Linked DNA regions of Caenorhabditis elegans. The protein of the gene in region 1 interacts with the protein of each later gene in a biochemical or structural test. Each region holds a gene or a part of one and is shown on either strand. Other genes may lie near its edges.

Region 1 (3,755 bases):
GGTTTTGATTTTAAAAAAATGTTAAGCTGAAAAAGTATAGATTAAAACCACGTGGTGTCAGGGTGTCTTATTTTGGTTTGATTTACGTAGATCTACAAAAAATGCGGGAGTTGAGACGCTGACGTCACATTTTTTAACAAAAAACTCCCGCATTTTTGTAGATCAAACTGTGATGGGACAGTCTGAAACCACGTGTCAAACCTTGAACTATATTTTTATAGTTTAGCTGTTTTTGATAATCTAAAAAGTAATCAAGATATAATCTTTCAAAGTGGATTAATGCCAATTGATTGACGAAAATTTGGAAATTTTTCCTAATTTATTTTTCCAGTTTGAAGAGTTTAAAGCATAACTTCAGATATTTTCTGAAACGGTGAAAATTTACTTTTTTTCCTAGGTTTTGTCCAGATCTCTAGGAAGGTATACAAAATTCTGAAAGCAACATTTTTTTGCTCAAGATTTTTAAAAACTTTCTCTCGAATTTCGTAACTTTTTAATAACTTTTGTTAGAGAAAAATTTTCATTTTTATAAACTATATTTTTAGCTATATTTAAAATAGTGCACGTATTTTTTTCAAATTGAAATATTTTCATTTCCCATATCAATTCGGCTAGATGTGAAAGTATTTTTGAAAAATAGTTTTTTGTTTTGAAATTTCAACTTTAATATGATGAACTTTTTCTGTTAGAAAGTTTTCTGAACTATTTGAAAAATTAAAAAAAACCGTCCCAGAAAATATTTTTTAGTACAAACCAACATTAGTTTTGCTATGTTCTTAAAAGGGCTGTGAATACACCTTGCCCATGTGGTTTCAGGTTTTCCCATTACGCTTTGATCTACAAAAAATGCGGGAATTTTATGCTCAAAAATGTGACGTCAGCAAGTTCTGAACCTTGCGAACTCAGTTGAGATCTCTGCGTCTCAACTCCCGCATTTTTTGTAGATCTACGTAGATCAAACCGAAATGGGACAACCCACGTAATTGCCATCAAAATTTGGCACAATGTTCTCATTGCGAACGGTAGCTTTTAGGTTAGGATAACAATGATTTTTGGGATTTGTAAGATTTCAGGACTTTCGTCTGAAACATTTTCCCAATTTTCCTGCCAAGGGAAACTCCCAAAAGTTTTCTACAATTTTTGCAAATATTCTATTTTTTTCAACTACTGGAACACCGCCGTTCCGCATGTTTTTGGCGCTCAACAAATGTTGTTTTTTTCTTCCCTCAATATTTTCCATTTAATATCTTCCTCATTTTGTGTATCCCTTTCAACTACTACCACTCCACCCAAATCACAGAGAGTTGGTTGACAGCAAAAGAGTTCATGGCTTTTCACTGTTGTTTTGCCTCTTCTCTTCTTCACAAGTTTTGCCATCGCAGAGCCGCCAGCTTTCTGCCTCATCGTCGCGACTTGAGAGCCATTTTTTCCGTGTCCCCCGTCCCGTCCCTCAACTGCATTACATTGTAGAAGGGGACGGAAGCTGGTAACTTGAGCAAGGCTTTTCAAGTATAAAATGCAGAAAAAAATGACAAAAAGAGTTCTTTGTGCTGAAGAAAAGAGCACAAATTTTGAAGGTTTTGAATGATCAAAAGATCTTCGTCTTTTTTTTGGAATTTTGTTGAAAAATTGTTTGAATATTCATAATTTTTGTATTAATTGGCTCCAAGTAGGAAGCTTTAAAATTGGAAAAATTGGAACAAGTTGATTTTCAAAAATTTCGCTATTTTTTCACTGATTATTTTTAGGGCAGACACAAATTGATCTAGAGCTCATGTCCAGAAAAGAGGCATAGGCAGGCAAGTAGGCAGGCAGGCCACAAAAAAGCGTACTAGCCTATTGAAAAAAGCTTTTTCCAAAATTTTGAATCTTTATACCATTTTTTTGAGAAAGTTTCAGAACTTCTCATAACAAAATTCGGAAGTTTTGGGTTTTTGTGTCTAAAAAAGTAACATTTCAGATTTTGGTACTCTTTTAAGATTTTTAAAAAGTCTTCAAAAATTTCCAAATTTCTGAAATTCTCCAGTTTCTTTTTTATCTATTTGATCATCTAACTTCCATCAGCTGCTTCTAAACTATCAAAAATTTGTATTGTTTTAATTTTTGATCACCTTTATCCATTAGCTCAATTTCTCCATTTCCAGGCGAGTCGGTATGGTATTCGACGCGCGTCTCGGGTACGACCCGGACGAGTGGGAGGAATGCCCGGAGCCGGAGCATTTTCTCGTGTTCTCCGGCTTCACCCGCTACATGCTCACGTTTGCCGCCATAGCCTTCGTCTACTACTTCTTCAAACTTCTCGATGACAAGAATAAGAAGGAGTCAGGCGAGAAGGAAGAGCCACAAACTTCGGTAGAAAGCGTCCTGGCCAAGGCCGGTGACAAGCTTCATGATGTGAAAGAACAAGTGGTAGGTGTTGAGAATAGATCTTGAAAAAAAAGGAATTTCAGCAGCAACACATCCCAGAAAGCGCTGAAGAGCTGATGCGTGAAGCCGACCAATATCTGAAAGAACAAGCTCACTCAGTTCAAAATAACGTCCATCAGTTCGCTGAGCAGGCTGCAAATAAGTTCCCGAGCTTGGAGGTGGATTTGAATTTAGGGTAAGTGTGAGAACAAGAATCACATTTTCGGCATTAGGGAGCAGGTATGGAATAGGCAGGCCTGAAGTAGTTAGGTAGGCATGAACTAGGCAGGCAAACATAAGTCAAGCGTAGGCACGTAGTTAGACATGTTGGCAAGCAGGAATATGATAGGCACGTATATTCATTAGAAATGCACGTAGGCAGAGACACCTGGGTCAGGTATAGGCACGTTGCACATAGGGAGGCATGCATGAAAATGGCACGTAGGCAGGCAGGTATGGAGTAGGCATAGCTGCAACGCAGAAGTGTGGAAAGCCCGAAATAGGTATCACATAGGCATGTCAAAAATCTCAGATTTTCAGCCACCCCATCGACGCCACCAGAGAGAAGTTCGACACCGTGCTCTCTTCCGTCAACAATCACCTCCACGAGACAAAGAACATGGACCTGTCTCCAACATCCCGCGATTCCACCCAATTCGAGCAAATTCCATCTATTGCACCGGAAGAATCCGCATTCGGGCACGACTTTGAGCATGTTCCACCTCATCTCAAAACAGCTGCCGAGCAATATTATGCTCAGCAACACCAACCACCTCCGGTACCCCAACACAAAATCGTTCAACCGGTTCCGATATCTCCGACTGACCAGCAGCTGCTTCACGAGTTTGATATCTACGATGCTCCAGCTCATCAGCGGATGAATCAGATCTCCGAGCAACTTGGACAGCTTGGACAGAAGACCCCAGCTCAACTTCAACAGCTTCAACATGCTCAGTTAGCTCATCAGCAACTGCAACAGCAGGGAGTCTTCCAGCCAATCCAGCAACCATCACCACTGCAAATCCAGACACATCCACAGCAACCATACTTTGATTTCTCCCAACTGTCCCCAGCATCTCAAGCCCGTTACAACCAGCAGCAGTTCGTGGACATTTCTCAGCTGTCTCCCGGGGCTGGAGCTCTGATCGCTGAGCAACAAGCTTCAGGAGCATTCCAACCAGTAACAAAGAAGCTGGGAAGGGAGAAGCGGCTCAGTGAGCAGTGAGTTTTTTTTAATCTTAGTTTGGGTTTTCAATTTACAAAGAGCAAATTCAATTTCCAGAGACGAGCGAGCCCTTCAGGACTGGGAAAAGGAGAAGGCCCTTCTCGAAGCTGACCGTCTGAAGAAG
Region 2 (3,755 bases), on another chromosome or scaffold:
ATAACTAAGATTTGGCAAATATCAAAAGTTTGGTCAACAGGAAAATGTTCAAAATTGAGTTGGTGGTTAACAAATAACCTACACATTCTCCCGAAAAAGAATTCATTAAAGATCAATGGGCACGATTGAAAACATGGCAAAGTTTTATTGAAAAATGAAAAACAGGCAAATATTTGGCTGAAATCGCTCAGTTTTCAGAAAATATCCACACTTTGACTGAAAATGGTGTAGGAATTGATGTAATAACAAGAGACAACAATCGATGTGGTTCCGTTTTTACAAATCGAATTGTTGATAACAAAGAAAATAAGGGAGCGTTTTGAAAATGAAGGAACTGGTTTTTCGATTGTACGAGATACAATAGTTCTTGACACAGACACCTACAATTTGTTGATAACGAAGGATAGACGCATCGGGTTGATGATTAAACAAATTTGAAGGAAGTACACGAAATTTCAAAAATTTAAAGGTGGAGTAGCGTCAATGGGGATTTTGTCTAAATACGCTTATTATGATTTCAAACGACCGAATATCATAATAAAACTACAAAAATTTTTAGATTTTCCCTAATTTCGGTCAAAGTTTTGGCACATTACCAAAATTTTGACAAATATGAGCTTTTGAGGACATCCAAAGCAATGTCGCATATTCCGGTCTTTACAATGATTCAACAAAAATAATTGAAACAAAATTACAGTATAAAAAATGTAGGAAAAATAATTTTTTTTGGTCGACTTCCAAAATTATGAGTGGCAAAAACTGAATATTGAACACTTTTTGACAGTGAATAAAAATTTTTCAAAAAAGTTTTGAAAAGTTTTATTATGATTATTTGTCACTTTGGCACCATAGGAGTATTTTTTAACACTTACTCCATTGGCCCTACTCCACCTTTAATAATTTTCAGATTTCCTAATTTTCTAGATTGCATGCTAATTTTTACAATTACTAGTTCAATGTTTCTTAATCTGATTTCGGTTTAATGCAACTATTATCATACGCCAGGAAATCGAATGTACCGTACGTATAATCAATGTAACTGATGTGATTTTTCATAATTTTTTCCTAAAATTGTTTTTCAAAATTTTTTCAAAAATTGCTATGGAAAAAACTATTTTCAAAAGACCGACCTGTGGACCGACTGTACCGTATTTCCTCTATTAGTCTTGCACTCCTACAGACTAATTGAAAATCAGTCTTACAGCCTGTAATAGTCTAGCACCCCACTTTTTGTCATATTAGCAGAACTTTGTGGAAACGTAAGCAAATTTATCATTTTTGGAGTAAATCAAATGTAAAATCGTTCAAATAATTGATGTAATATTGGGAAAGTATGTATTTTTCATTGTTTGAACGGTCAAAATTGTATCACTTTCCAAAGTTCGAAAAATAGTTTTCAGTCTCTATTAGTCTTGCACCCCTAAAGACCAATTGAAAATTAGTCTCGCATGCAAGACTAATAGCGAAAATACGGTAAATGCAGAGTTGTTGTCTTTCTTAATTTATTTTTATTTTTATTTATTTGAATATTAGTTGTTATATGGACGTCCTTTTCTTTCTCAATACATATGCATATACAAATATTAACTTTCCGTTCTTCTTTCCTATTCCCATACATTTATATGTATCCCAAAGCCTTCTCTCTCCCCCACACACACCATTTATCTGCACCATCCTCTTTTCACCCAATCTCTCATTTGTCGTAAACTCTCCTTCCAACTCTACGTCTCTTATTGTTCCCAACACTCTCTCACTTTTTCAACACTGACGACGGCTGTTTTACACTATCTGCTGGCCTGGATGGGGACTTTTGTGTTGCTCTACGGAAAGAATCCTCCCACACAATATTTTTACTGCTATTTGAACATTGAATTATCGATTTTTCAAATTTAAATTTAAGTGCTTAAAGAGGAAATGTTCCAAAACAGAGTTTCATAATGAGACTTCAAAATTTTTTTAACTTATCAATATCTAATTGTACTTTATTTTTTATTATGAATCAACAAATATTTACCCCTTAATAATTTTAAACTTTTCAGCAATAACCATGTCAACACTTGGTCGTAGTAAGACCCCATCTCGTGACGAACCAAAAAAGCCTGGAGTCTTTGAGAAACTCTCTGGTACCCTTTCTCGAAAGAAGAAGGCGCCGGAAGATGAGCATGGAAACCAAGGGGGTGCACATCATGCTACTGATGAAGATGAAGTTTTGGAGGTTAGTTTTGCAAATTAATGGTTTTAGCAAATATAGATTTTTCAGCTTGAACTTGAAGGTCGTGAGGCTCTCGATCAGTCATTGGTCCCAGTTCTTGCAAGAAACATCTGGTTGGAAGAAGGTAAACGGTTTCACCAATATATTTATCCAATATATTTTTTTCCAGGAGAAATTCGTCGTTATCTGACTAAGGAAACAGCCCGCGATCAGAAGTTGGCACAAGTTGTCGATTTGCTGATCTACTGGCTTAATGAAGAGCTAGCTGATCAAAGAATTGTCGTTCGTCACTTGCAAGAAGATCTTTTCGATGGTCAAATCATCCAGAAGCTGTTGGAAAAGTTGGAGCAGATTCGAGTAAGTTATTGGTACAATTTCACAAATTGAATAAATTCTCCACTCACAGTTTTGTTACAGATCGAGGTTCCAGAAGTTTCGCAGTCAGAAGAAGGACAACGTCAAAAACTGCAAATTGTAGTTCAAACAGCCAATCGAATTCTCGGACAGCCAAGAGAACAAGAGAAATGGTCTGCGGATCTTATTCATCAAAAGGTACGCAAATCTTTGTCTGAATTGTTCATTTCTATCAGTCTTACATTTCATTGTGCAGATGTTTGACGCACTGTAGACAAAAGAGTTTCTCACTCGAAGCTGTTCCAAAAACTACCGTATATTCTATATTAGTATGATATGTTAATCTGTGGACACCTCCGCCACACAATACTATTCATCATTTACTATATATAAAGCGCTTATTCTGTGTGTCCATAGTTTGTAGTCTATGTAGTCTTTGTAGTCTGTGAAGTTTTGGCTTCTTGGGATAGTGAGTTGGGGTTAGTGTAGGGATATAGTCGAAGTACTGTATTGGCACAATAGTGGTACGGTAGGAATACTGTAGTTTCAGAAAAAATCAGTTTTCACCCCCAGGTCCACGGCTGGTAATCTATATAGAAATTCGTGAACTGCAATACTAATTTTCGAGGTGGTTTTTGGATGCAAAACTTATTGAGAATATACGATAGTTGAACGCAACAGTACTTTTCGAATAAACAGAGTTACTTTCCATATTTTATATTTTCTCATAAAAGAATATTCCCAGGACTTCACTGCCATCATCCAGCTCCTGGTGCTTCTTGCTCTTCACTACCGTGCTCCAGTTCGATTCCCAGATAACGTGGTTGCTAACGTTGTGGTGGCTCAAAAGGAACATGGTCAAGTGAAGACCCATCGAATTACTGAGCAAATCACTACAGTTCAAACTGAGTTGGCACCGAAGGGCACTCGTGACGCATTTGATACGCTTTTCGATTATGGACCCGATAAGTTGGCTCATGTGAAGACATCTTTGTTGGCTTTTTGTAATAAGCATTTGAATAAAATTAATCTGGAAGTAAGTTTATTCACTTCATTGTGCTACAAAGAAGCTGATATTTGTAAATTTTTAGGTGTCTGATTTGGATAATCAATTCCAGGACGGAGTTTTCTTAGTTCTCCTAGTGGGACTTCTTGAAGGTTATTTCGTCCCGCTTTACCATTTTAATCT
Region 3 (3,755 bases), on another chromosome or scaffold:
GTGTTTTTAGTTCGTTGAATTTTCTAAATTTTTTAGAAATTCTAAACATTATTTCCTCACAACTTCTCAGAATGACCAATGACTAATCCATCAGAAAGAAACGTTTATTTTTTTTTCGAAAAAAAAAGAAAAGAAATCTCATAATTGTTCGTGCCTATGTATTTTAGAGTTTTTAAGTTTCATCAAAATCATATGGCTAATTCCTAGACCGGTCGTCATCAAATATTTAATATTCAGTTGTTTTTCAGTTATTCCATTATTATTATTATTATTATTATTGCTGAGCCAGGCTAAATAAATCTGATCCATGATATTTATTTTTGTCGCTTCCCTCCAATTTCCGTAGTCAAACATCATCAGCCGATAAATTGTTTTCTGTGCCTTCCCGCCGAACATACAGCAATTAGGGAAATTACATTGTCGAGCATGAAAGTTCTTTCATTTTTTCGCCCAATTTCTTATACATTCACTAGAGTTTCTTTCTTTTTTTGGAATAAAAAGTGTTTGTTGTTTTGCGGCGGCCACCAGACACGTTCAAAACAACAAATCTTGTGAGTTTTATTGCTTTTTGAATTTCTTTTAAGACGTTTCTGAGCAGATTTTGGATGTTTTTCGAAGGGAAATAGAATATGGAAAAATATTTAAATATCTAATTTTAAAGTACACACGAGGCACAATATTCTGAATTCTATTACCGTTAATCCGTTTCAAAAGGTTTCCTTGGTAACCGAGAGAAGCGATGTAATTCTTGTGAAAAACAATGGCATAGCTTTTTAGACCATAAGGTATTTTTGAATATTTTTCTGGAGACCCTTGACCTCTCTAAATATTTATTTTCCCATTTCCTGCTCCATCATGAATCGAGTCCATCAAAGGAAAAGCCATTTGAAGCGTGAAGAAAGTCGCCGTGAGAGCGACCTTGTTGAGTGACGCCTGCTCCTTTCTTTTGCTCCACGACATTTCCTTTCATCGTGGTCCTTATTTCTTTCTAAAAGCGTGTATATAAACTCTTATTATGATGATTGACGTCCACCTCATGCACCCGAATCTATTTTTATGTTCAGTAGCAGCTCTTTTGAGCTCTCTGGGCGTTGCTTTTCAAAAGCTCAACGTGATTGGCACATTGCCAACATGTGAGACCTGCCGCCGACTTCCGCGCCCTTCATGATCCGCCACTAATCGGTGAGCAAGTACTCGTTGAAGTGAGCAGCAAGTTTATATTACTTATGGTATATACACACACGTCGCGCCTTTACCCTCACGCGGCATACGGCATACGGCAATGCTTATTTGTTCTTTGTCAAGCACTTCTTTTGCACATTTTGGCAGCAGCGCGCACGGAAGGCGCCGCGTTCTTTGCAATAACCAGACTGTGCTCTGGGAGCAGCAGATGATTTAGGGGAAAGATACGAGAAAAGAGAAACAGAAAGAGAGTAGTTTGCGTGCTCATTTCAACAAGCACTTCACCTCTGCCCTCGGGATACCTCAGATAATTTGTGTTTCTGAAGAAGCTAGTTCTTCTTTTTCTTCTTCTTTGTTCTCTGCTCTTTTCACCTCTGAAACCCCTTGAATGTCAATGTTTCTAAAACCATTGAAATTAGATATGTTTGGGTTTTGCCCCGTTTATGCGTTGAAACGAACAAACATTCTATGTATCTTATGTGAGACAAGAAAACAGATTTAGTTCTCTCCAGAGACTCTCCCATCAAAACACACACCTGTCTGTTTTTTTTATTAGCCAACCACTTCCCCATAAATTCTTGCCATGGACTTTTCAACAATAACAAAATTGTTTCCTCATATTTTTATTATTTTTTCTTTCTCTCAATATGTCTAGAGTTTGGGCGGCAATTCTATTATTCGGAAATGAATAAAATTTTGAAAATTTGAAATTTGACAATAGTTATCGGAAAAAAGTTCCGATTACCAGAGATCAAAATCCTCATATTTTTAATAAGTTTTGATCATTAATTTTTTTGAATCATTTTTCTAAAAAATTCGAATTGTCGATTATCGAATTGATTTAAAAAAAACGATTTCCGCCCACTTCGTAATGTTTCAAATATTCTACTTCTTCAATTTTCTTATTAATCTCTATTTCTCTTCGAACATCAAACTTATCATATTCCAAAACCCCATTTCCTTATTTCAAGAAATATCTCGTCGATCCTCCATCATCCACCTTCTTCCCCAGTCATCATAATCATCGGATGACCTACGCTGAATCGACTCGATCCGCCGTCGTCTACTCGTCGATTGTGCCTCCACCACGTACTCCAGTTGGTCCGCCGATGTTGAAAGATGGCGTGCGGAAAGGATCCGCATCGCAACCACTTCAACCAAAAAACGGTGCCAACAGTTTGGACTATTGGAGTAAATCGGAAGATGAAAAGTCTGGAATAACGTGTTACTACAGTCGTCATAATATTCAATTTCCACCACCACAGAGGAAAATGAAACCTGTAAAACCAAATCCTGTGGGAAGGTCAACAATAAATGGATTCACACCATCGACATCATCACCACAAAATGGTCTTAGATATCCACCATTTCCACAGAATACACCAGAATCTGTGATGAGTCCTCCAGTTGGAATCTACCGTAATATTCCCGCAATGCCACGTGCAAAACTTACAAAAGATGAGAAAAATGGAGGGAAAATGAATCGAGATGGTGGAGGAGAAAACCCAAAAAATGTAGTTTGGGGTGGAACATCAAGAAAAGATGATGATACGGCTAGTACACCGTTAAATTCATTTTCAGCCAATGGTGAGATAACCGGGAATGTGAAAAGTTAATTTAAAAATAAACTGAATTGTTTTTTTTTTTGTAATTAATATTTTGTATCAGTTTCAGCATCAATCGAGAAAAAGCGATCAACAGCGAGAAGGAAACCAAGATGGGCACGCTGTTTTCAGACACTTTTCTGTTGTGTGACTCCACCCAGAGAGATTGGTATGTGATTTTTCATTTTAAAATTATCAAAATTCTTTTAAAAATTTGGGGTTATTTAAGTTATGTAGAATGCTCCAAGAGTTCACTAAAAAAAATTTAATTAAAAAAATGAATTTTCAATTTCTGAAGAGAAAATGGATGTAGTCTGAAATGATCCAATTTGACTACAAAAATTTATCTTTTTTCGGGAGTTTTCCTTCAATTTTGCAAATTTTTTTTCAAATTTCTGAATTATTTGTTAAATTGCCACCAAAAACGGTTACTGTAACTCAATAAATTTTTTTAAATAACATTATTTGTAAAAAAAATTTCCTGGAATTTCTGTATGCTTTTCACACTTTCCTATAACAAAATAGACTGAAAAAATTTTAAAAAATTGTTTTGTTTATTTTAAGCGACAAATTTTTGAAATTCCAGAAAAATTTAATATAAAGACATGTTAAAAATTTTTTTTTGAAAATTTCCACAAGAAAAAGCTAAAGAAAAAAAGGAAATTTGGTCTTGTTACAGTAACCAGTTTGTGCGAAAATTTGAAAGTTTTGCAAAAAAAAAGACAAAATTTTAAACACTTTATAGGCATATTCGATAATTTTAGACTATCTTCTATTATTTAACAATTGAAAAATGTTCTTAATCATAGAAAAGTTCAAAATTTCGAGTAATTAATAACGCCGCTTTTATGTTTTCTAGAAAACGAAATGAGTGTTTTCATCTTCATTTTTTCTTTATTTCTCTTTCTCTTCAGTGGTAGTGTTCCAGTTATTACACCAAATCTTCCATCTCTTTCATTTTTATCCATC

The links.
Region 2: the proteins of cpna-1 (region 1) and pat-6 interact in far-western blotting, tested with the Caenorhabditis elegans proteins (one study listed by BioGRID).
Region 3: the proteins of cpna-1 (region 1) and scpl-1 interact in far-western blotting, tested with the Caenorhabditis elegans proteins (one study listed by BioGRID).

The regions. Positions count from the first base shown.
Region 1 is NC_003280.10:4,184,522-4,188,276, forward strand, and holds the start of cpna-1 (Copine family protein 1), read left to right. Parts: upstream 1-2,154; coding exon 2,155-2,409; intron 2,410-2,450; coding exon 2,451-2,602; intron 2,603-2,946; coding exon 2,947-3,627; intron 3,628-3,688; coding exon 3,689-3,755. UniProt on the Caenorhabditis elegans protein: Involved in the assembly of dense bodies and M lines during body wall muscle development.
Region 2 is NC_003282.8:262,517-266,271, reverse strand, and holds the start of pat-6 (Paralyzed arrest at two-fold protein 6), read left to right. Parts: upstream 1-2,039; 5' UTR 2,040-2,047; coding exon 2,048-2,215; intron 2,216-2,260; coding exon 2,261-2,336; intron 2,337-2,381; coding exon 2,382-2,569; intron 2,570-2,629; coding exon 2,630-2,764; intron 2,765-3,311; coding exon 3,312-3,602; intron 3,603-3,657; coding exon 3,658-3,755. UniProt on the Caenorhabditis elegans protein: Involved in the regulation of cell adhesion and cytoskeleton organization. Component of an integrin containing attachment complex, which is required for muscle development and maintenance.
Region 3 is NC_003279.8:10,092,879-10,096,633, reverse strand, and holds the start of scpl-1 (CTD small phosphatase-like protein 1), read left to right. Parts: upstream 1-2,153; 5' UTR 2,154-2,210; coding exon 2,211-2,769; intron 2,770-2,856; coding exon 2,857-2,955; intron 2,956-3,755. UniProt on the Caenorhabditis elegans protein: Phosphatase which may play a role in the egg laying muscles.